4 linked regions of the Caenorhabditis elegans genome follow. The protein of the gene in region 1 purifies or fractionates together with the protein of each later gene. This does not show direct contact. Each region holds a gene or a part of one and is shown in the gene's direction. Other genes may lie near its edges.

Region 1 (4,188 bases):
TCCAAAACTATTTTTCAATGAATATTGTACTTTTTATGAATGCTTCGTCTATTTGACCTATTTGACGTATTTGATCCCCCCGTCGAAAAACCAGCGCAACTATTTCATATAGGCTCAACGAATTTTTGATCGTGAATCTTCTTCTTCTTTGCTGACACTCACAAAAACTGATGAAGTTTTTTAAAAAATGGTTTTATCGATAAATTATTATTAATCTGCCAATCACTTCAGTACATTTACTTTTTTTTTAGTTTTCTCTTTCATTTTTGCTTCAAATTTTTTATAAAATTTTAAATCAACGTTTTTCAGAATGTCAGCTCCATCTCGCACCGTCCTTCGCGATTTGACGGCGACCAGATACGTCGCCAACTACGCCGAAGAAGATCGCTTGGAAACCGCTCGAGCCGGTTGCTCTTCCCTCCCACCACAACCCAACATCAATCATGATGTAATTATCGAAGGGCACGGAGAAGATGTGGAGCTCGTCGAAGATGAGAACTACTGTTCCGTTCATCGTATCGATGAGACTCCAAAGCTCGTCGACAAGAAACCGAGCAAGACAATCATCCGCGATGAAGCTGTCAAAGTGCTCCGGCACATTCAGACTGTGCCGATTGAAAATCTTCGTCTTAAGCGCTACGACTATTTCTCGCAAAGATGGTTCCACACGACCAGAGAATCGGAGAAAGCGCTTGTCGAGCACGTGTTTCTTCATCCCAACCAACGACCACATTATTTTGCCGCTCAGTGCCGGAAGCTGTCGGTCGAGGATATCTCTAGTTTGATTCTGGTTAGTTTCTTGGCCATATTTTTGATAAAGCATAAATCTCATTTCAGACTTCTCTCCTGACCGAACCGAAGGAAACGGGACAAAATGTGGCTCGATTTGCTATCCAGACAACCAATGAAATGTCGTTCCAAACGTTATTTGCATTGCTCGAACAACTAGAGAAGGAAAACGAAAGGTTCCAAATGACAGATAGCTTTGTGGTTGCAACCCTGATCCGATCACAGACGAAGAGAGTAAGTAAATCGGTTTTATATTACACACAAATAACTTTTCATGTTTCAGACTATCACTCGTCTCCTGAGAACCACACACTGCCGGGAATACGGAAATCTCGAGCCAGGACTCGATTCACAAGGCCGGCTGATGACTTCGACTGCATCAATCACGTGTTCAATTCGAGGAAAGCGCCACGTGGAAACGAGGATCGTGTACAAGAACAACTCGAGCACCAGGGATCCTTTCCGAAGAAATAGAGTGAGTTGTATAGCAATAATTCTATCGATTTCCAATTTATAACATTTTCAGTACATCGAATTGGAGCAAACGGTGAAGTGCATGAACCGGCGAGTGCTGATTGTCGAAGAGCCAGTCGAAATCCACGAATTCGAGGTCGAAAAGGATATGATCTCGCTGGAAAACGGAATTGCGCCAGTCGACGACCTGATCTCGTTTCTCGAAACATTCGAACTGGATGAAGAGGACGAGTAACTCCATATATGTCCTATAATTAGTAGTAATGTGCATAAGTCTGTATTATTGTATATGTATTTAAATAACCGAGTGGTTCCTGTTGAATATTCCAACTAACTTCCCCTATTTTATTTTCCTTTTTTGTTTTAGTTGTTTTATGTATATAGATTCTCCAATGCCCAAATTGTGACAACCCACGACTATTTTGTTTATATTCGACATGTATATTGCCCGCATTTATTTTGATTTTTTTTCAAAGATGAATTTGTTTGAGGTATAATTTTACAATGCATTACTGCTCTGATTGATTGATTAGAATATGAATTTCAACTATTCCCGGCTTTTCACTGGTAAATTACTCCATATACGTTATTTTCCCACCGCAACAACCTGGCCTTTTCATTGCCTCATTCACAGCATACGACTTGTAATGTCTGCACTCTCCCCGTCTCATCACGTAATCAGGTCTCTCTCGATTCTTCCCGTTTAAATATATATCTGCTCTATTGCACCTCTTCATTTCCTTGTTCAGGAAAATAGCATAATTTCAAAATGCCTCGGAAGAAGAACGATGTGCAAATCACCGAGGAAATGAAGAAGAAAACCGCCGAAGAGGTTATCAAAAAGGTGAGTTTTATTTATTTATTTATTCCTAGTTTTGAAATTAATTTTCCAGCTGCCAACAGTGAAATCGAAGCAAGACGCTATCAACGAGAATCTGCAAAAACTTCAAGAATTCCGAGATAATGAGCCGAACCCCTATGGAAAGGGTAAAGTGGGTTTTTTTAAACAATTTTTATAACTAATTTTTGCGAAATCCAATCATTAAAAATTCAATATAAATACAGTAGTCTGTTTAAAGGGGCACGTGGTTGTACGGCTGGGTCTCGCCACGATTTTAAAGTTTTCTTGCAAATATCAATTAAAATCTTAACAAAAGAAATCAATGAAGACCAAGTTTTAGATAAATTTTTAAAATTTGAAGTAAAGTTTTGAATAGTTTCAACAAAATTTTCGGGGCAATTGCCTCGAAAATCTGTTCAAATTTGCAATCTGTACAAATTCGGCGATTTCTGCATGCTGTGCACAAATTCGGTTGAAATCTGGGTATATTCTGAACGGGTTTACTGAGAAGTTTCCATGGTTTTCGATGGAATTTCACATTTTGTCACCAGCACTCATCGATCTGTGGAATCACAACAATCATTCATTAGGTTCGTTTTCATCTTTAATCTCTCAAAATTAAAATAAATATTACAGAAATCTTTTGGACGAAGTAAAACGTGTTGCTGAAATGGATTATCGCTCCCAAATGGCCGGAGACATCAGTCGGAGAGATTTAATGGAACTGATCAAGGTTCGCGGCGACCTTCTTCCATTATGGACCAGCCATGACACACAATTTCCTGGAGAATATGTTGGAGCTATTGCACCACAGGATGGCTCGAAACTAGGCGACGGAGATTCAGTGGCGGCATTCAGTAAAGACGGAAACTGGATTCTTGCTGATATTGTCACATGTCACTCTAACTCGCGATATGAGTGTCGAGACGTTGATGATGACAAGAAGAAGTTGACAGTTTTCGCGAGAAGCCATTTGTTACCCCTCCCAAAATGGAAAGCGAATCCTGCATCAGACAAGCATGCACTTTTCGAGAAAAATGCGATTGTGTTGGCGTTGTATCCACAAACCACTTGCTTCTACAAAGGTACCAATTTTCACAAAAGTTTCAAAAATAAAATAATTATTTTCCAGGAATAGTTCACTCCCCGCCAGCAGATTTTCGAGAACCATATCAAGTAGCGTTCGAAGACGACAGCTATGCATCAGGATTCTGCCCTCCAATGCCGGTTGCTCAGAAATACGTGGTTGCCTTCCGAGAAGTTGCAGGGCTCACTGCATCAACTGCTCCAAAAAAGGGAAATGGCCACAAAAAGAAATGAGGCCATAATCCAATTAATTGACAGTATTTATTGTATGTAACTCCTAAAAATCCCGGAATTCCTTCTCATAAATCTCACAATGTTTTTTATTTGTCCATAAAAGTTGTTCTTATCAAAAATAAAACGTGTTATTATTGGCGGCAACATTATTCGAAAATTATACAAGAGAAATAATTCAGAGAGTGCAGAAAAAATTAGAAAGTGATCCAATGCGTGGTCTTGATTATTAAAAATTAACGTGATTTTAAAACCAGAAAAACATTTTGATTAATATATCTGCACGATCTACAATGATAAATAGTACATAGCCGTCATCCCATCATTCCTTCTCACATCATAACCACCTTTGACAGGATACTCGTCACATCCCGTCAATCCCAACGGCAAAAGAACAAAAAATTCTCTATCCACAGTCTCCTCAGCATCGAAAGCGCACTAGAGATAGCTATCTGCTAGATATTCTATACCTTCAAAGAGTGATTCGAGAAGATCTTCGTCTCACCTGAATGCAGTAAAATCGAAATTCGCAGATTCCAGTTTCCTGTCGACTCCGTGAATCCAGTGTTTCAAAAATATATTGACATCTTTGATTCTTAGATAAGCGACGAATGCGGAAGCATTTGTCACTATTTAGTACATCATTAAGATCATATTTCAATGATTGGTGTAGTACAACTATGTCCATGTTACGTGTTAAAACCATTTGCATTTGTTTAGATGCTTCTATTGAGAACGGGTTTTTGCTGCTTGTACAAATTGAATCA
Region 2 (7,117 bases), on another chromosome or scaffold:
CAAAAAGCACAATTTCCTCGGATTTTTAACTGAAAATCCCGGATTTCTAGCGGAAATGGTCGATTTTTCCCCAAAAAATCATGCATTTTTTTCCAGAGCCCACTTCCACCTACAAAACTCCGATGTATCTCAGGACCTTTCAACCCAAAAACCGTGCTTTTCCTCGTCCAACAAGGAATCGATCTGTTCGACTCGTCATTTCCAGTTAAATTGGCCGAAGAAGGCCACGCGTTCTGTCTTTCAGACGATTTTCCGACGTCTTCGAAATATGAAGTAGTGGATTTCAATAATGAGAAGTTCGCCGACGATTTTACCGCACTTTTCGACGGATGCGCCTGCTATACGTGCACAAAATACACTAAAGGATACCTACAACACCTTCTGAACACCCGAGAGCTTCTGGCTTCGATTTTATTAGTTATTCATAATATGACAGAGTATGATAAAATGTTTAAGCTTATTCGGAGCTCGTTGGAGAATTCTGAAGGATTGTGATTGGTTTTTTCAAATTTTTTTTGTTGATTTTATATACTCTATTCTTGTTATTTTTTCACTTGTTGGTTTCTTAATTTAATTAAACACCTTTTATTCAGCGTTTTATTGCAATTTTCCCGGTAAAAACTCCGGTTTTTTATATATTTCCTATAATTTTTTCCCTATTTCCCCAAAATTCAGCCTAATTTCCCAGATGTCATCGATTTCCTCCTCCTCATCAAATGTCCGAATGGATCGCCGATTCGATTGGGTTGGACCGCCGGATAATTTATCGAAAATTCGCAAAATTATGTGAGAAAATCCTGAAAAATACGCTGAAAATAAATAATTTTCGCAATTTTTAGCGCTGCCGCACGGAAAAGTGGGCGGAGTTTGGTGACGCAACACCTCCGCGCACTTTTCCATTTGTTAACGAAAACTAGATTTTAATCAATTTTCGTCGGTTTTCAGCGAAATTTTCCCATATTTTTTGCCAAAAATCTGTTTTAAAAATTATAATTATTGATTTTCCAGGCTCCGCCGCGTCGATAATGAGTCGGAACTCGAGCGGCAGTATCGGCTGGCTCGGGAAGAGCTGAATCAGTGGAATTCGGATTTTTGGGCCGAACACAATCAACTGTTCGACCGGCAAAAGTCGGATTTTGTCGAGCGAAAGCAGCAAGAGCTTGGAAGACTGGAACACGTGTCGGCGAACGAGCTCAGCGAGTTTTATCGCGATTTTTTGAATGATCGACACGTGGCGATGATGGCCTATAATAAGTGGGTGAAAATGCGGTGGAAATCGGATAAAATTGATTAAAATTGATGAAAATTCGCGAAAAATCGATTAAAATCCATGAAAATTGCTATTTTTCATGTAAAAAATCAATATTTTCAGAGAATGGTACCGCCGAAACCTGCAACTGATTTGGCCAGCACTCAAAGTCAACGTTGTCCGATTTTTCCGAATGGCGAGGCGTTAATTTGTAGATTTTTTGGGTAGTTTTAGTTGATTTCGTTGCTTTTTCCCCGATAAAAATGGGTTTTTTCTTGATTTTTTATCGTATTTCTTGAATTTTCAACGGGTTTTCCACCCTAATTTTACCTTTTTCAACCTTTTTTCCACTTTTTTGCCAATTTCCGCATTCAGATGGTCGCTGGAAAACGTACTGGAGCCGCGAAGGGCTCACGCCACAACAAGAAATATTGGAGAAAGGGAACGAATATCGATGATATTGAGGATTCGATTCGTAAGTTTATTTTCGAGCGATTGTCGCTGAAAAATCATCGAAATTTCCAGTATTTTGACGAAAAAACCAAAAATTTCCATTAAACATGGTAATTCTTTCAAAATTGCGACAAAAATCGGCGATTTTGGTTAATTTTGAGCGAAAATATGATTTTGGCGCTGCTAAGCTAATTTTAGGCAAAAATTCTCAATTTTTTCACGTTTTTAGGCTAAATTTCACTAATTTTTCCGATTTTCAGACATCAAATCCCGTCAGGCAGCAACTGGAGGTGTCATTTCTGAGATGAAAGACGAAGATCTGTTCATTGTCGATCGTACCGCCACCGCCAACAAGCCAGTCGTGCCGAAACTGACGAAAAAGCAGCAGGCCGCGTTGGAAAAAATCACCAAAAACATCACACAGGAGCATGTCACACTTCCAAAACCATCCACCACATCGAAAATTCTGAAAAAACCCGCCAAATTGCCACGTGGCAACGCGATTTTGGCGCTGAAAAAGGGGCCAAAAGCAGCGGCGCCGGCGGCGAAAAAGAAGAATTTCGACGTTTGGACGACTGATTTGACGCCGAAGATTCCGAAATCTAAGCTTGAGAATCAAGAAGCCGCAGAGCATTTTCTGAAAGTTGTGAAGAAAAAGCAGCCGAAAACGCCAGGAAAATCGATTACAAGTCTGCTTCCAGCAGTACAAATTGCCGAAGGAGGTGCTTCTTATAATCCAGAAAGTGCAGAATATCAGGAATATGTGGCGAAAATTGCCGGAGAAGAACAGAAATTGATTGATCACGAGGCGAAGATTAAAGCCGGAATTGAGCCACAGTGGGAGAAGGTGTGTGTAGGCGTTGAGAAGGAAGAAATTGGCTGGAAATTTGAGAAAAATTGGAGAAAATCCGAGAAAAATGGTCGAAAAATCGAAGAAAATGGCCTAAAAATTGTTGAAATTTAGATTTTGGCGCTGTTTAGACTACAAAAACTACAAAAAGCAGCTGCTACCAAAATTTTTTGGAGCGATTTAAATGGAAATTTAGCGAAAATAGAGAGAAATCCAACTGATTTGCTGAAAAAATTGGCGAAAATCGCAGAAAATAGATGAGAAACAGGAAAATTAGAGAAAAAATTGGCGAAAATTGGTGAAAAACCAGAGAAAATATGAAAAGTCGACGAATTTGGCTCAAAAATTGTTGAAATTCGAGTTTTATTGCTCTGAAAATTGCATTTTCATCTAGAAAATTTGGAAAATAGCGAAATTTTAACCAAAAAAATCGAGAGAAACTTGAATTTTTGCTCATCTAGAGCCTAAAAACATGAAAATTGTATTTTTTTTGGACGATTTTCAGCCAAAATCGGCAATTTTCAGGTGAAAAACAGGAGATTTTGGTCAAATTTTGTCCAAGTACCAACAAATTTTAGATTTTGGGCGCTGCTTAGACTACAAAGACTACAAAATCATGGTTTTTTACTCATTTTTCTTGATTTTGAACTAAAAATTGACTTTACTCCAGGTTTTTTTTGGTGAAAAATCAGTGAAAATCTAGATTTTCTCTTAAAAAATTCCCTAAAAGTGGCGTTTTTCACAACTTTTCCCGAAAAAATTGCACAAAAATAGGTGTAAAAGCCTGATTTTTAACATTTTGGCGTTGCTTTGACTACAAAAACGAAAAATTGAAGAAAAATGATGAACAATCGAAGAAAATGACCTAAAAGTCGTTAAAATTTAGATTTTGGCGCTGCTTAGACTACAAAAACTACAATTTTTGGCCGCTGCTAACTACAAAGACTACAAAATCATGGTTTTTTGCTCATTTTTCTTGATTTTGAACTAAAAATTGACTTTTCTCCAGCTTTTTTAGTGAAAAAATCGGTGAAAATCTTGATTTTAATCTTGATTTAAAAAGTGGCGTAAAAGTAACATTTTTCAAAGGTTTTCACAACTTTTCCCGTAAAAATTGCACAAAAACGGGTGGAAAAGCCTGAATTTTATATTTTTGGAGCTGCTTAGACTACAAAAACTACAAAAAATGGCCAATTTCAGTGGGAAAAATGGGAAAATTGTTTTAAAAACGTCATTTTCGAGGGTTTTTTTCGCAGTCAAAAAAGCCAATTTTTAGCTAATTTTTAAGCTGAAAAAGCCTGGAATTTGCTAAAAAAAAATCCCAAAATTTGCTATCAATTTGAAATTTCCAGGTGACCACAGAGCACGAGCGCTTCTTGGAAATGGCTGAAGGACTCAGAATTCATCCGAAATACGGAAAAGACGATGAAGAAGAAGAAGAAGCTGGAAATTCTGAAAAATCGATGAAAACTGGTGGAGAAGCGGAGCCAAAGAGCCAACGTGTCGAATGTGACCGTATGACAAAAGAGCAAAAGAAAAAGAAGGCAAAAGCACAGAAATTGGATAAAGAAGAGAAGCGTCGGCTTGAGGAAAAGGCCAAGGAGCAGGATTCACATAATGTCTATCGGTACGAGCTGAGGAGAAATGCTCGTTTTTAGCCGGAAAATTACAGGAAATTTTGAAGAAATGCTATATATAATTCGAAACAAAAACCTGAAAATTTGACAAATTTTCACGACGAGAATCGTAGAAAATCCGTAAAATTCAAGTTTTACAATTTTTTTTTGAGAGTATTTGGTGGAAATTCGGAAAAACTTTCCGCCGAATTTTCCTCTAAAAATCCAAATTTTCTGAAAATCCAAAAAAAAGTTTATTAAATTCTAAAATTAAATTTCAATTTTTTTCAGAATTCCAAAATTTCACCACATTTTTATTTAAAATTCGAAAAATTTCCAAAAAAACCGCGAAGTTTCTCCAAAAAAAAATTCAAATTTACTCCAAAAATTCCTAATTTCCATAACTTTGGCCAAAAAAAATCCAAAATATTCCAAATTTTCTCAAAAATTTCAAAATTCCTCTAAAAAAAACCCAAGATTTCATTTTAAAAAATGTCCCAAATTTCAAATTTTTTCCTAAAATTTCACAAAATGTACCGAATTTTCACCTGAAAAACGTGAAAAAGGCCAAGGAGCAGGATCGGTACGAGCTGAGTGAAATGCTCGTTTTTAGCCCTGAAAATTACAGGAAATTTTGAGAAAATGCGAAAAAATCCTGGAAATTTCCAGAAAAACGGCCCAAAAAACGAGAAAATCACGGAAATTTCGTGTAGAAATCGGTGATTTCCGTGAAAATTCTAGAAATTATCTATAAAATTGTAGAATATCATCGAGTAAATCCCCGAAAAATGCTGAAAATTCTGAAAATTTGTGCAAAATTTACATGGAAAATTGCTCGTTTTTAGCTCGAAGTTTCGAGAAGGCCGAAAATTTTTTTAGAAAAACCTCCCAAAAAGTTTAAAATTCCAGGAAATTTCTGTATTTTCAGCGCATTTTAACTCTGAAAATCGATGAAAATCGATATAAAAATCGGCATTTTTTGATAATTTCAAAGCTAAAACATGAAAAATGAATTTTTTTTTGGACGACGAATTTTTCAAAAAAAAAATTCCAAATTTTCATCTGAAAAATCCAAAAATTCAAAAATTTATTCAAAATTCCACATTTTTCGTAAAAAAGCCAAAACAAAAAAAGCCAAAATTATTCTTTTTTCTGCACAAAAAATTTGAAAATCTTTATATTTTCCTATGAAAAGTCAAAAAAAAGCGCCAATTTCTTCTTAAAAATCAAATTTTCACTAATTTTTCCAAATTTTTCACCTAAAAATCCAAAAATTGGCTAATTTTCACTAATTTTTCCAAATTTTTCACCTAAAACTACAAAAATCCCCAATTTTGCAGCACAAAACAACTGCACAAAGAGCTTGACGAAGAGGAAAAGCAGCGTCACGAGGAGTCGGAAGTCCGTAAAAAGGAAAAATTGATAAATAAACTGACAAAACGTCAGCAACTCGGAAAAGGAAAATTCGTTGACGCCGAAGATCCATTCCTTCTTCAGGAAGAACTAACTGGAAACCTTCGTCAATTGAAGCCACAGGGACACGTGTTGGATGATAGAATGAAAAGTTTGCAGAGAAGAAATATGCTTCCAATTGGTGGAGATAAGGAAAAGAGAAGAATTAAGAATCGTCTGAAGTCGAAAGTTGTCGAGAAACGAAGTGCCAAGAATATTGTCAAAGGAAGCCGTGTTATTTAAATTTTTTGTCGTTTTTTTTTGGTGATTTTTGAGGGAAAACGAGCTGAAAACTGGGGTTTTTAGTGATTTTTAACCTAAAAATTGATAATTTTTTTGGCAAATTTTGATTTTTTGACCAAAAAATTTGAAATTTTAGACATTTTTTATTCTGAAAATCTGATTTTCTGGCTTAAAACTGATTAATTTTGGCAAAATTCTAATGTTTTATAAAATTTAATTTAAATTTCATTTTTCTGTGGAAGAACTTCAAATTTTTGATGTTTTTCAACTCAAAACAAAAAAATTCCGATTTTCCCCAAAAAATGCCAAATTTTGCACCTTTTTAGCTAAAAGTTCAAAAAATTTCCATTTTCAATGGTATTTCACTACAAAATTCCCAATTTTCAGACATTTTTCCATCGAAAATCACCCCAATTTCACCCCAATTTCCATTTTTTTTCCAAAAATATCGTTGTTGTTCCCCTTCATTACTCTTTTATTTTGTTGTTAATTCGTTATTTTTTATCATGAAAAACTGTTTTTCTGAAAAATTTGAAATTTCCAAAAAAAAGCCGGAATTTTCAGGAAAAAGGTGAAATATTTCTAAAAGTCTGCAGAGAAGAAATATGCTTCCAATTGGTGGTGATAAGGAAAAAAGAAGAATTAAGAATCGTCTGAAGTCGAAAGTTGTCGAGAAACGAAGTGCCAAGAATATTGTCAAAGGAAGCCGTGTTATTTAAATTTTTTGAGCTTTTTTCGTGTTTTTTTGGTGATTTTTGAGCGAAAATGAGCTGAAAATTGGGGTTTTTAGTGATTTTTAACCTAAAAATTGATAATTTTGGCAAATTTTGATTTTTTGACCAAAAAATTTGAAATTTTGGGGAAAATTTTACCCTAAGATTTTATATTTTCGTCAAATTTCGAATATAGCTTTTTGTCTAAAAAATTTGAATTTTTGGCAATTTTTAGTCTAAAATTTTATAATTTTTTCAAATTTTGAATTTTTTGAGTGAAAACTGAAATTTTTAGTGATTTTTAACCTAAAAATTTGAAAATTTTTGCAAATTTTTAATATTTTAAGCTTTTTGACGGGAAAATTGGAATTTTTGGCAATTTTTACCCCAAAATTTCGATTTTCTAGTCTAAAACTAATTAATTTTGGCAATAGCCTAACATTTTGTAAAATTTAATTTAAAATTCATTTTTCTGTGGAAGAACTTCAAATTTTTGATGTTTTTCAACTCAAAACAAAAAAATTCCGATTTTCCCCGAAAA
Region 3 (4,240 bases), 2.7 Mb from region 1:
GATTTGCCGGGAATTTTCAATTCCGCCGATTTGCCGGAAATTTTTAACTCCGGTACTTTGCCGGAAATTTTCCGGTTAGCTGATTTGCCGGAAATTTTTAACTCCGGCACTTTGCCGGTTAATCGACTTGCCTGAAATTTTCCGGTTAGAGAATTTGCCGGGAATTTTCAATTCGGCCAATTTGCCGGTTTGCCGGGAATTTTCAATTGTGCCAATTTGCCGGTTTGCAGATTTGCCGGGAATTTTGAATTCCGGTAATTTGCCGGTTTGCCGATTTGTCGGATATCAATTTGCCGGAAGTGTTTTTTCCGGCAAATCGGCAATTTTCTGGTTGGCCGATTTGCCTATAATTTCAATTCTGGTAATTTGCTGATTAGCCGGAAAAAATCGTTTGCCGCCCACCACTGGAGTAGAGTCAATTTTTTTGCTTTAAATAATAGAAAATGGGCCGTAATGACTAAATTCAACAGTAAATATTAGTAGGCAAGAATTATAATAACAGTTCAGTTTTGAGTTTAACTACCGTACCCTTACAGTACCCATACATTTAATCAACTCATATGAGTAGGGTAATAGGTGTAAAGAAGCTCTATACAAAGAAAAACTAATCTCATTCATTTTAAGATGTTCCAAGAAAATATTGGTTTCCGTTTCGCATGTTCATATATTTCCAATAACTAACATCTGGATGCAATGCAGGAAAATATTATTGCGGTTAGAATTTCCTGGAAGACGTTGGGAAGATGGGTATTTGTTTTTCAAGCTGGACAATTTTTAGATTATTTGTTTTAGAGCAGTACTTGGATTTGGGGAATTTATGAAAACCTGGAAAACTTAACAGGTAAATAGCTAAATTTGCATAGGGGTTATTTAGATTTTTTTTCGGCAATTTTGTCAGTTGTCAATTTTCCTATGAATAAATTATTTTTGCTATGCAATCTATGCAACAAAAAGAACAACGAAAAACTAACGGAAAGAAGCCCAGAAAAATTATTTAATTAGTGAAAGCGTCGAAAGTTTGGCTCTTTTCTTTTATTTCCAATTAACATATATTCGGTCAGAAAATTTGTAGACTCTATGTGATCAATGTTCTTGACTAGTGAAAAGGTACCGACTATGCATGTTGATAATTGGTAAGTGAGCATAGTTGGTACCTACAATTTCTACGTCACAACATCTTGACCGTTTTTCCCCCACAACGGGAGTGGCCTGTGAGCGTATAGAGAGAGTTGAGTTTGTAGAGATACACAGGCAATATAACTGCCTCCTACATATTTTGCGAGAGAGTGACCTTTAGCAGGTGAGCCTGTACAACAGTTTTGGAGCTGACAAAATCTGATGCTGAAAAAGAATTCGTGTGTCCTGCTGTGTGGAAAAACTGTCAAGATGTTGTGACTTAGAAATTGAATGTACCAATTACCACATGCAAACTAGAGTGCGAATTAAATTATTTCAACTTTCGGTCACTGCGGCATAACATTGACATCATGGCAAAAGTTCAGATTTTCGTTAAATTTGCATTTTTCTCCAAATTGTGAATCAACTTAAAGGGGGAGTAGAGTTTGTGGATATTTTGCTTAAATAGACTAAAACTGGTCCAAAACCACCGAATTTCATAATGAGACATCACAAAAAATTTCGAAAACTTTCGAAAAAAAAAAATACACGAATAGGAACATTGCAATCATTTTTAAATTCTTTTTTATTCTGCTAAGTTCCAGGTAACCCCAAAAAAACTCATGTAGCCAAAAATCTGATCTTCCATTTCACTTCTGTCTTTTTTAATGTCCAATTAACATTATTTCCTAATTAGATAAGAGTGGCAGATCAAGAGCAACCTAAACCAAGTTTTGCCAAAATCTTGCTCAATTTATGGCCCGACACGAGAAAAAGCTAGAGTTAGCACAGAACAGGCATATTTTATTTCTCCTACAGTGTAATACTTGCACGAAACGAAATTATTGTTAACAATGCAACTATTCAGAACCAGCTAGAGCAGCTGACAATGGATGAAACGAAGCTTTTGTCTGAAGTTTCTGGCTCATCGATATCAAGCACTTTGTGGTTCTACAACACTGTGATTATGAACAGCGTTGTTGAACGTCTCGATTTTTTTGATATGTATGTAAAGTCTTTTGATTTTTTTTAGCTTGAATTTTATTTTTTCAGACAAGTGCTCCGTAAAATTTCTTATGGAAGCCGTCAGTGCATCGACCTTATCAAACCAGACCATAAATTACTCAAAATCGGCATTCATGTTCAAAGCATTGGGTGCGCACTTCTTGAGATGTTTACCGAATCCACAAACCGAAAAGTTTCATATAAGGCTTCAAGATTATCCAGAAAATCTAGCGAGTTGGATTACGGCAACTTTTCAAACGACTTGTTCCTTATTTTGAAAAATCAAAAATCTGCTTTGGAAGAACTTAAAATGAATTTTATGCAAGTTGATGAAACCAGCGAGTCAAGTTTCAAGGATGTTACGGAAGAAGAAAAAAAATACATGGATGAAATTGAGGGGAATCCCCAGGAAACAGAAAGTCATTCAATCTGGGACCAGAATGAGAATCGATTTTTGAAATCGTTCAAAGATTTGCACGCCTCGCTGGGTCGATTGCTGCCAGTGGAAAAGTTGGTTGTCACAACAAGAAACCAAAAAACCATAGTGCAACTGCTCCAATCCGTGGATCCCTCTAAGCTGAACAAAATTGAGTTTGGAACATCTTTCGACGTACCTGCAAGTGATGTATGGAGCATTGAAGAGTTTTTGGTCATGGAACAATGGAGGAATGCGAAAGAGTTGACAATTATTAAGCGTGTTATCAAGTGTGATGTTGAAAATCTTGTTCACTTCAGAAAAGTTGACATAATTTTGGATTCGTTATCATTGAAAAATGTTATATATTTGAGAGATGTGAGTTCGAATATCTCATGTAATTTTTAAAAAAAAATAATTTCAGATGTTCCTAGTTTCACCGGACTTTCTCCAGTTCAAGGTCACATTTGTGAACAGTGACGTAAATAATTCTATATTTCAAGAAGGATTTTTGGGAATTCCGTTTCGCATAGTTACCGATTCTACAAATAATCAACCTAGCATTTGGTTTTTCAATTGCATGAACGACACAGATGATCTACAAATTCGATATTATCAAAATCTTAAAAAATTCATGTTTAATCGTATTCCGAGGGAATCTAGTCCGGCTATTCCGAGGGAATCTAGTCCGGCTAGGTGCTAGAGCTGTTGTAAAGGTCACTTCCCTGTTCCTCGCCAACGGGACGAAAAGTTGTCCCTAATGATTTTTTTTTCAAATATTAATTTTTCACCTGATTTAAACTAGGGCTCCCATGAGGTCGCCGCAAAGGCGCCTTCGCCCGCCTCAGCGGTCGCCGCGCCGGCCTCACGGCGTCACTCTCGCCTTTCACTGAATTACACATAAACTTTTATTTTCATTTCTTATATTTTTTTTCTAAATTTTCAACGAATTTTTGAAAATTAAAATTTAAAATTCACGTCATTATTATTGAAAGCGGCGAACGGCGAAGGCGAAGGCCGGCCGGCGTGAGGCCGGCGTGAGGCCCGCATTTTGCGCCTCACTCAGCTGGGAACCCTAATTTAAACAATACTTTCATGTGCATGAATCTTTTGTACGTTTAAATATAATTTTTAATGGCGTGGATATAGATATTTCACGTACTATTTTTATAAATAAATAAATTCACTTATAATAAATTTAAACATTTATTTCTTAATTATTCTCAATTTACTGTGCACCTTTTCATATTTTACGGTAAAGTTAAATGTATCTAAATATTTGTTTAACCTGAAAATATTGTGCAACATAAAAAAAAAAAAAATATATATATATACAAAATGGACGCACTTTGACAAAATGAAAGCATAAATCAATAATAAGTCTCACTATGAGAAATGATTGAATAATTAAATAAATAAAAAATTTCAAGCTGGAAACTTGCTGGAAAAGGTGATAATTGAACTTTTTCTTAATTAAGAAATTTTCTTCAAACGAATGTTTCCGCGGTATTAAATTTTTTTATTGAAGCAAAAAGCGCAGAGATCGAAGATTTTTACATAAAAATTCCATATATTCCAACAAACATGGAAGAATTTTGAAAGAAGCACATGAGAAAAAGCACCGAATAATGATGAATTTTTAACCAAAAAATTCGAAAAAAATCACAAAAATACAGAAAAATTGAAGAAGCCGGGTGATTGAAA
Region 4 (7,656 bases), on another chromosome or scaffold:
AAAGCATTTTTAGCTGAAAAACATGAAAAAATTTTGAAAAATACCTTCAAAAATGATTTTTAGACAATTTTATGCCTAAAATTGAAAAATTCTACTTATTTCTGACGATTTTTCCGAAAAAAACTGCTGAAAATATAATTTTTCACATTTTTTTTCGAATGCAAAAATATGACCGTGTGTCGATTTACGCGGTTCGTGTACTCCCCGAGGAGAATTTCCGAATTTACTATTCGAATTGCTCATTTTCATAGGTTTTTTTCCGGTGAAAGTACGATTTTTCTGGTTTCTAGTGCATTTTCAGCAGTAAATTCATTTATTTTCACTAAAAACTTTAAAAAATCAATAAATTAGGTGATTTAAATCGTTAAAAATCAAAAAATCAGCAAAAATGGACTACTTTTAGCCTAAAACGTGAATTTCCTTGCAAAAACAACGCAAACTTCTCCTCGGGGAGTACACACGAGCCGCAGATTAATCGACACTGCAAAATTCGAGTTCCTCGTAAAATTTCGCCCCTAGTCGTCTTTTTTTTGGAGTCTCTAGCTCAATTTTGAAAATTTCCGGGTTACTGTAGCCTCAGAAGTACGCAGAGCTTCGGTGTTTGCGTACTTGGCACCGGATTCTACGATATTTCGTTTAAATGAGCTGAAAATTGTTAATTAAAGTATGCTGATTCTGAATTTCGGGTTGAAAATGTCGGGAAATTTCGGGAAATTTCGGATTTTTCTGGAAATTTCAATTTTTTAAAGAGAAATTTTGCTTCTTTTTTTTTTTGGGAAATTTTAATTTTTTGAAAATTTCGATTTTTTTGACCTTGAACTTGGAAATAAAAGTGAAAAATTGATTCTAAAAATAATAGTTTCCCCTAAAAATTGTCAAAAATCTTAAAATTTTTCAAATATTTTGGAATTTTTTGAGAAATTTCAATTTTTAACCCGAAATTTCCGAAAAAAATCTCAAAAAAAAGGAAAATGAGAAGTTAAAAAACGCAATTTTCCCCTAAAAAATTGTCAAAAATTTTGGGATTTTTTGAGAATTTTTAATTAATTTTTAACTAGCAATTTCTCAAAAAATTTGTTAAAAAATTTCGTAAAATTGGTTAAAAGTTTGTGCTTTTTTTTCAGTTTTAAATTTATAAAAAATTTGAATTTTTCCAGGAAATGTTCATTCGCCAGAACCTGTACAGTGTTGAGTATGATGAGCTGATCAATAAGACTTACGAATGGCCAGCCAAGGATTCGAAACACGGTTTCCCGGTTCCAGTGTTGAGAAGAACCTCGATGGACGAGGAATAATCTTTTATTTTATCGTTTTTTTTCCCAATTTTTTTCGCATTTTTCTCTAGTCTCTCTCTCCATCTCTCTTTCCCGCGTAAATACACCCTATTTTACCTTTTTACCCCTAAAAATTCATTTTTTTTTCACAAAGTTCTTAATGTCTACGTGTATAGCATAATCCTATGGATTTTTAGATTATACAAAAATTTAATTATATAAATTTACATGTAAATTTAGCTTGTTAGGGCATTTTTCCAGTTTTTTTTTGTTCCTGTTGGATTTCCAGATTTTTGCCGCTTTTTTTGGTCACTCCGTTTTCCAGCAATTTTTCAGATTTTTTGCCACCAGAATGAGCCAAGACGATGGAGCAGCGGAGGCGGAGGCGACGGTCCGAGTTCCGATGAACATTGCACTTGTCAAGTATTGGGGAAAACGAGATGATCTACTCATTCTGCCGCTCAATGATTCGATTTCACTGACCGTGGATCGGCTGACGGCGGAGACGACAATTCGGATGGTTCCTGGAGTTGGGAAGCATACGGTAGCGCGGAATTTTGGAGCGGGAAATTTTTTTTGTTGAAAAATCTGGTTTCCATGAAAAATATCGAAAAATTTGAGAAAAAATGACTTTTTTCCCTCAAAAAATGCCATAAATATTACCCAAAAAAGCGAAGTTTGCTATTTTTGCGCAAAAAATACGGTACCCCGAGTCTCGAAACGACCGAATTTTTGTTAAATGCAAAATGCAAAGATGTGATGCGCCTTTAAAGATACTGTAGTTTCAGAATTTTTTAAAATTGATTTTTCATAGTTTTCCGCTAGGGAAAATCAATAAATTCTGATTTGAAACTACAGTACTCTTTAAAGGCACACATCTTTTGTTTTTAACAAAAAAATTTTTGTCGTGGCGAGACCCGGTAATGTATTTTTGGCGCGAAAATCGTAATTTTCGCGTCTCGGTAATATTTTTAAAAAGTGAAAAAGACAAAAATCGTAGTTTTTCATGAATTTGAATATTAAAAAACCATTTTTTTTAATAAAAAAAAAAATTAAAATTCGATTTTTTTTTGAAACAAACCTTAAAAAATTCAAAATTTAATATTTTCTTTAAAAAGCAAAATTTTTAAATTTTGTATTATACTGAAATTCTTTTTTTAAAAATTTTTTCCCGAAATTTAAAATTTTTAATTCAGGTTTCGCGGAAAATCACGCAATAATTTTTCCTAAAATTGCAAAAAAAAATCAAAAAATAAAAAATTTCAGCTTGAAAATAATTTTGTCGAAAATATATTTTTCAAAAACAAACCCTTATTTTAAAGAATTATAGATCAAGAGTCATTGGAAAATCAGAATTTCAGAGTTTTTTCTGTGACTTTCATTATTTTAAGTTTGAAAATATCGAAAATATTGTAAAAATCAAATATTCTAATAGAAAAAGTTATTTTTTAAAAAAACTCAAATTAATTTAAATTCCTGAAAAAAATTGAAATTATCCCAATTTTTTACATTTTTATTCGAGAACCCAAAGCATAATATTTTTCTCGGAATTTTAGAAAAAAGTCTAAAAATTAAAATTTTTACAAAATTAATTTTTTTGAAAAATGTGAAAAAATTTAAAGGTGGTGTAGTCGAATTTTTTAGTGCTTTGTTAGACTCAAAATTGTCTGAAAACACCGAATTTCATAATGAAACTTTTTGAAATCTTTTCAGAAAAAAGTTATGACGGCTCAAAAAATAGCTTAAAGTTAGTTAAAATCGGAAATTGTCTGGAAACTTACTTTTTTGAAATCGCCGTAAAATTTGAAGTATACAAGTTGATTACCTTGCGTTTTAAACTTGGTTAAGGTATTTAAAAATCGATGGACGGCGATGGATTTTCAATTTATTTGAGCCAAAACTCGCCGTCCATCGACTTTAAAATACCTTAATGAAGTTTAAAACGCGAGATAATCAACTTGTACACTTCAAATTTTACGGTGATTTCAAAAAAAAACTGTGTCCAGCCGCTGACAAGTCAAGTTTCCGATTTTAACTAACTTTAAGCCATTTTTTGAGCCGTCATAACTTTTTTCTGAAAAGATTTCAAGAAGTTTCATTATGAAATTCGGTGTTTTCAGACAATTTTGAGTCTAACAAAGCACTAAAAAAATTCGACTACACCACCTTTAAATGTTTTCACATTTTTCAAAAAAATTAATTTTGTAAAAATTTTAATTTTTAGACTTTTTTCTAAAATTCCGAGAAAAATATTATGCTTTGGGTTCTCGAATAAAAATGTAAAAAATTGGGATAATTTCAATTTTTTTCAGGAATTTAAATTAATTTGAGTTTTTTTTTTAAACAACTTTTTCTATTAGAATATTTGATTTTTCCAATATTTTCGATATTTTCAAATTTAAAATAATGAAAATCACAGAAAAAACTCTGAAATTCCAGATTTTCCACTGACTCTTGATCTATAATTCTTTAAAATAAGGGTTTGTTTTTGAAAAATATATTTTCGACATTTCGGAAGTAAAATTATTAAATTATTTTCAAGCTGAAATTTTTTATTTTTTGAATTTTTTTTGCAATTTTAGGAAAAATTATTGCGTGATTTTCCGCGGAACCTGAATTAAAAATTTTAAATTTTTCACTGATTTCTCAAAATAGCCACAAAAAACTCTTCAGAAAATTCCTAAATTCTCCATTTTCCAGGTAGAAATAAATGGAAAATCAGTGGAACTGAGCTCCAACAAACGATACCAAACAGTCTTCGATGAGGCTCTCCGACTTCAGAGGAAACGAAAAGAAGCAGAAGCATCATCGGCGGATTCAAATGGAAATGATCCTCCGCCGATCTTCTACCATTTCCACGTCACCTCGACTACGAATTTTCCGGTTGCAGCTGGGCTGGCATCCTCGGCCGCCGGATTTGCTGCAATTGCATTGGCAATTCAACGGATTCTACGACTAGATGATTCTCAAGCGAATCGGCTCGCAAGAATTGGATCAGGAAGTGCCTGCCGGAGCATGTATGGAGGATTGGTGCATTGGAGGAAAGGGGAGATGGATGATGGATCGGATTGTTTGGCTGTGGTACGGGAAGTCGAGAAAATTCAGTGGAAATTGGAATTTTTGGAGCAAAAAATCGAGATTTTGGCACTTTTTTTACTCTACAATGACAAAAAAAGCTCTAAAAATCACACTGCAACTTTTTCCTCACGAGGGACGAGGAAAAGTGGTTTCTAGGCCATGGCCGAGGGGCCGACAAATTTCAGCGGTCATTAATCTTGCTTTGTTTTCCGCCTGTTTTCTTTTGTTTTTCACAGATTTTTCCCGTTTTTTCTTATTAAAACTGATAAATAAATACTTTTTGCAGATGCTAAAACATTTTCCAAGTAAAAAAATTATGTATTCAGTGGGCAAGCAGCGGTGAAAGTGGTCAATGCAATATGATGGATTACGGGAATACAAAACCTAAACTTTTTCTGAAACATGATACATGTGCTGCTTAAATGCTGAGACTACCTGATTTTCATAACGAGACCGCTGAAAAAGTTTTGAGGTTTTTAAAATTCAACTTTTTGTGCGAAAATCTCGACTTTTTCACCAAAAAAGTTGAATTTTGGAAACCTCAAAACTTTTTCAGCGGTCTCGTTATGAAAATCAGGTAGTCTCAGCATTTAAGCAGCATATGTATCATGTTTCAGAAAAAGTTTAGGTTTTGTATTCCCGTAATCCATAATTTTACATTGCCCACTTTCACCGCTGCTTGCCCACTGAATACACTTTTTTTTACTTGGAAATTGTTTTAGCATCTGCAAAATTATTTATTTATCAGTTTTATTAAGAAAAAACGAAAAAAATCGATGAAAAACGAAAGAAAACAAGCGGAAAACAATACAAGATAAATGGCCGCTGAAACTTGTCGGCCCCTCGGCCATGGCCTAGAAACCACTTTTCCTCGTCCCTCGTGAGGAAAAAGTTGCAGTGATCAGGATTTTTTTCCGTTTTTTTTATTTCAGAAATTTTTTTACAAAAACTTTTTTTTTTTTGATTTTCCGTAAAATCAAAAATTGGAAAATTTCCACATTTTTAGTCATTTTCTGAGAAAAAAAAAAGAAAAATTGTTCACTTTTTCAGAATTTTTCGTCTGAAAACTCAATTTAAGTGAAAAAGGTCATATATTAGAAAATAAAAACCGAGCACAAAGCGGAAACAATCAAAAATTTGAAAATTTTCCCAAAAATGAGAAAAAACCAAAACAGAGCAGACGAAGAGTTATACAAATACTCGAAAATTGAAAAAAAATCAATTCCAGCCGCCAAATTAAATCGGTGGCCGAGGCTTTTTCAATGGTTTTGATTTTTTTAAGGGAACTTATTACAGGAACACTAAATTCTGAGAATGCGTATTAGGCAACATATTCGACGCGCAAAATATCTCGTGGCGAAAACTACAGTAACTCTCTAAATGACTGTCGATTTACGGGCTCGATTTTCGAAACGAATTTCTGTTCGAAAGCCCGTAAATCGACACAAGCTCTACAGTAGTCATTTAAAGAGTTACTGTAGTTTTCGCTACGAGATATTTTGAGCGTCAAATATGTTGTGCAATACGCATTCTTAGAGTTCAGTGTACTCGTATTAAGTTTCCTTTAAAAAATCAACCATTGGAAAAACTTCGGCCACCGATTTAATTTGGCGGCCAGAAATGGTTTTTTTAATTAATTTTCGAAAAATTTTATAACTCTTCATCACCTCTGGTTTTAAAAAATAATAATTTTTCTGAAAAATGTAGAGATTATAACTGAATTAATGAATTTTCAGATAATAAAACCCTGGAAAAGTGAAAAAAGTTTCGATTTTTTTCTCAAAAAATAACTAAAAATTTGAAAAATTTGTATATTTCGATTTTACGGAAAATTAAAAATAAATCAATTAAAAAAATTAAATTTAAAAAAATAAAAACTATATTTCCAGAGAACAGAAGCCGCCGCCAACTGGGAAGATCTCTACTGCATAATTCTAGTCTTCGACGATGGCCGCAAAAAAGTGGGCTCCAGTGAAGGAATGCGAAGATCACGAGAAACATCTCAACTTCTCAAGCATCGCATTGAATCGATAGTTCCTCAACGAATCCAACAAATCCAGGAAGCGTATACTTCACGGAATTTCGAGCAGCTCGCACGCGTCATCATGGCCGATAGCAATCAATTCCACGCGGTTTGCATGGATTCTACGCCGCCAATTCGGTATTTGAATGAAGCATCGTGGCAGTTAATCGACACAGTTGAAGAGTTTAATATTGGAGGAATTCGAGCTGCTTATACATTTGACGCCGGTCCGAATGCGTGTGTTATTGTGCAAAAGTAGGTGGTGGAAAAAATTGATTTTTGAGGAAAAATATTAAAAACAAATATTTTTTTTTCAGAGAAAATGCGTCTCAATTCCTGAAAGCTGTGCTCCAAACTATCCAAGTCCCTTCAGAAGATCTACAAGTCATTGGAAAAGAGCTCGCCGAGCAATTTGACGTCCCAGCGGAGCCGACGACGAAATGCTCCAAATTAATTATGAGCCCAATGGGTGGCGGGCCTCAGGAATAGGAATCTTTTATAATTATTGTTGTTCTTGTTGAATTTTTATTGTTTTTTAAATATAGATAGAATATATGAATTAATTTGATATTTAATATTTGTTGATAAATATACAAAAAAAAATATAAAAAACAATTCTGAAAAAAATAAATAAAAACTCTACGAATTTTCAGAGATCGGAGCGGCTCAACAACTGGAGCAATTTCGAAAATATAATGTTCGTAATTATTTCTAAGTTTGTGTTGTCTCAGAGCCATGTCTGAAAAAACAGATTTTTTTTCGAAAATTTTAAAAAGTTCGTAGAAATTGGATTTTTGACAAATCTATGCTCTCTTTTTTTGTTTGAAATTTAGTTCAGTGACATACAATTTCAAAAATATAATGTTCGTAATTATTTATAAGTTTGTGTTGTCTCAGAGCCATGTCTGAAAATTTTAAAAAGCTCGGAGAAAAAAATTTTTTTGTTTGAAATTAATTCGATTTTGAACATTTCTACTATCTTTTTTTTAAAACATGTATTTCAGTGAATAGAAGACTCAAAATTATAATGCTCGTAATTATTTATAAGTGTGTGTTGTCTCAGAATCAATTCTAAAAAACAGATTTTTTTCGAAAGTTTAAGTTATATCCGCGGAAAAAATTCAATTTAGGACATTTCTATTATCTTCATTAAAATGGATAATATTAAAATGAGGGGAAATAATACACAAGTACCAAAATTGAGAACATATAAAATCAGGTATTTATTGCCATTATTGCACGCCATATTTGACGCGCAAAATATCTCGTAGCGAAAACTAC

The links.
Region 2: the proteins of Y17G9B.8 (region 1) and nol-53 fractionate together in Caenorhabditis elegans (co-fractionation; one large-scale study listed by BioGRID). This does not show direct contact.
Region 3: the proteins of Y17G9B.8 (region 1) and R05C11.2 fractionate together in Caenorhabditis elegans (co-fractionation; one large-scale study listed by BioGRID). This does not show direct contact.
Region 4: the proteins of Y17G9B.8 (region 1) and Y48B6A.13 fractionate together in Caenorhabditis elegans (co-fractionation; one large-scale study listed by BioGRID). This does not show direct contact.

What each region holds. Positions count from the first base shown.
Region 1 is NC_003282.8:4,756,550-4,760,737, reverse strand, and holds Y17G9B.8 (SGF29 C-terminal domain-containing protein), read left to right. Parts: upstream 1-1,897; 5' UTR 1,898-2,107; intron 2,108-2,156; 5' UTR 2,157-2,620; coding exon 2,621-2,694; intron 2,695-2,740; coding exon 2,741-3,189; intron 3,190-3,236; coding exon 3,237-3,424; 3' UTR 3,425-3,561; downstream 3,562-4,188. Other genes in the region: memi-1 (MEiosis-to-MItosis transition associated), read left to right, coding at 311-790, 838-1,023, 1,073-1,264, 1,316-1,498; Y17G9B.11 (PID domain-containing protein), read right to left, coding at 3,796-3,876, 3,927-4,133.
Region 2 is NC_003283.11:19,000,332-19,007,448, forward strand, and holds nol-53 (Ribosome biogenesis protein NOP53), read left to right. Parts: upstream 1-1,624; coding exon 1,625-1,724; intron 1,725-1,962; coding exon 1,963-2,549; intron 2,550-3,904; coding exon 3,905-4,179; intron 4,180-5,508; coding exon 5,509-5,863; 3' UTR 5,864-6,385; downstream 6,386-7,117. Other genes in the region: tgt-2 (Queuine tRNA-ribosyltransferase accessory subunit 2), read left to right, coding at 97-495; Y39B6A.34 (COA8 family protein Y39B6A.34, mitochondrial), read left to right, coding at 689-786, 1,009-1,254, 1,373-1,457. UniProt on the Caenorhabditis elegans protein: May play a role in ribosome biogenesis, being required for integration of the 5S RNP into the ribosomal large subunit.
Region 3 is NC_003282.8:2,056,877-2,061,116, reverse strand, and holds R05C11.2 (DUF38 domain-containing protein), read left to right. Parts: upstream 1-2,005; coding exon 2,006-2,121; intron 2,122-2,169; coding exon 2,170-2,914; intron 2,915-2,960; coding exon 2,961-3,239; 3' UTR 3,240-3,739; downstream 3,740-4,240.
Region 4 is NC_003280.10:14,220,230-14,227,885, reverse strand, and holds Y48B6A.13 (Diphosphomevalonate decarboxylase), read left to right. Parts: upstream 1-1,610; 5' UTR 1,611-1,626; coding exon 1,627-1,818; intron 1,819-3,974; coding exon 3,975-4,355; intron 4,356-6,241; coding exon 6,242-6,630; intron 6,631-6,692; coding exon 6,693-6,864; 3' UTR 6,865-6,947; downstream 6,948-7,656. Other genes in the region: men-1 (Malic enzyme), read left to right, coding at 1,158-1,295.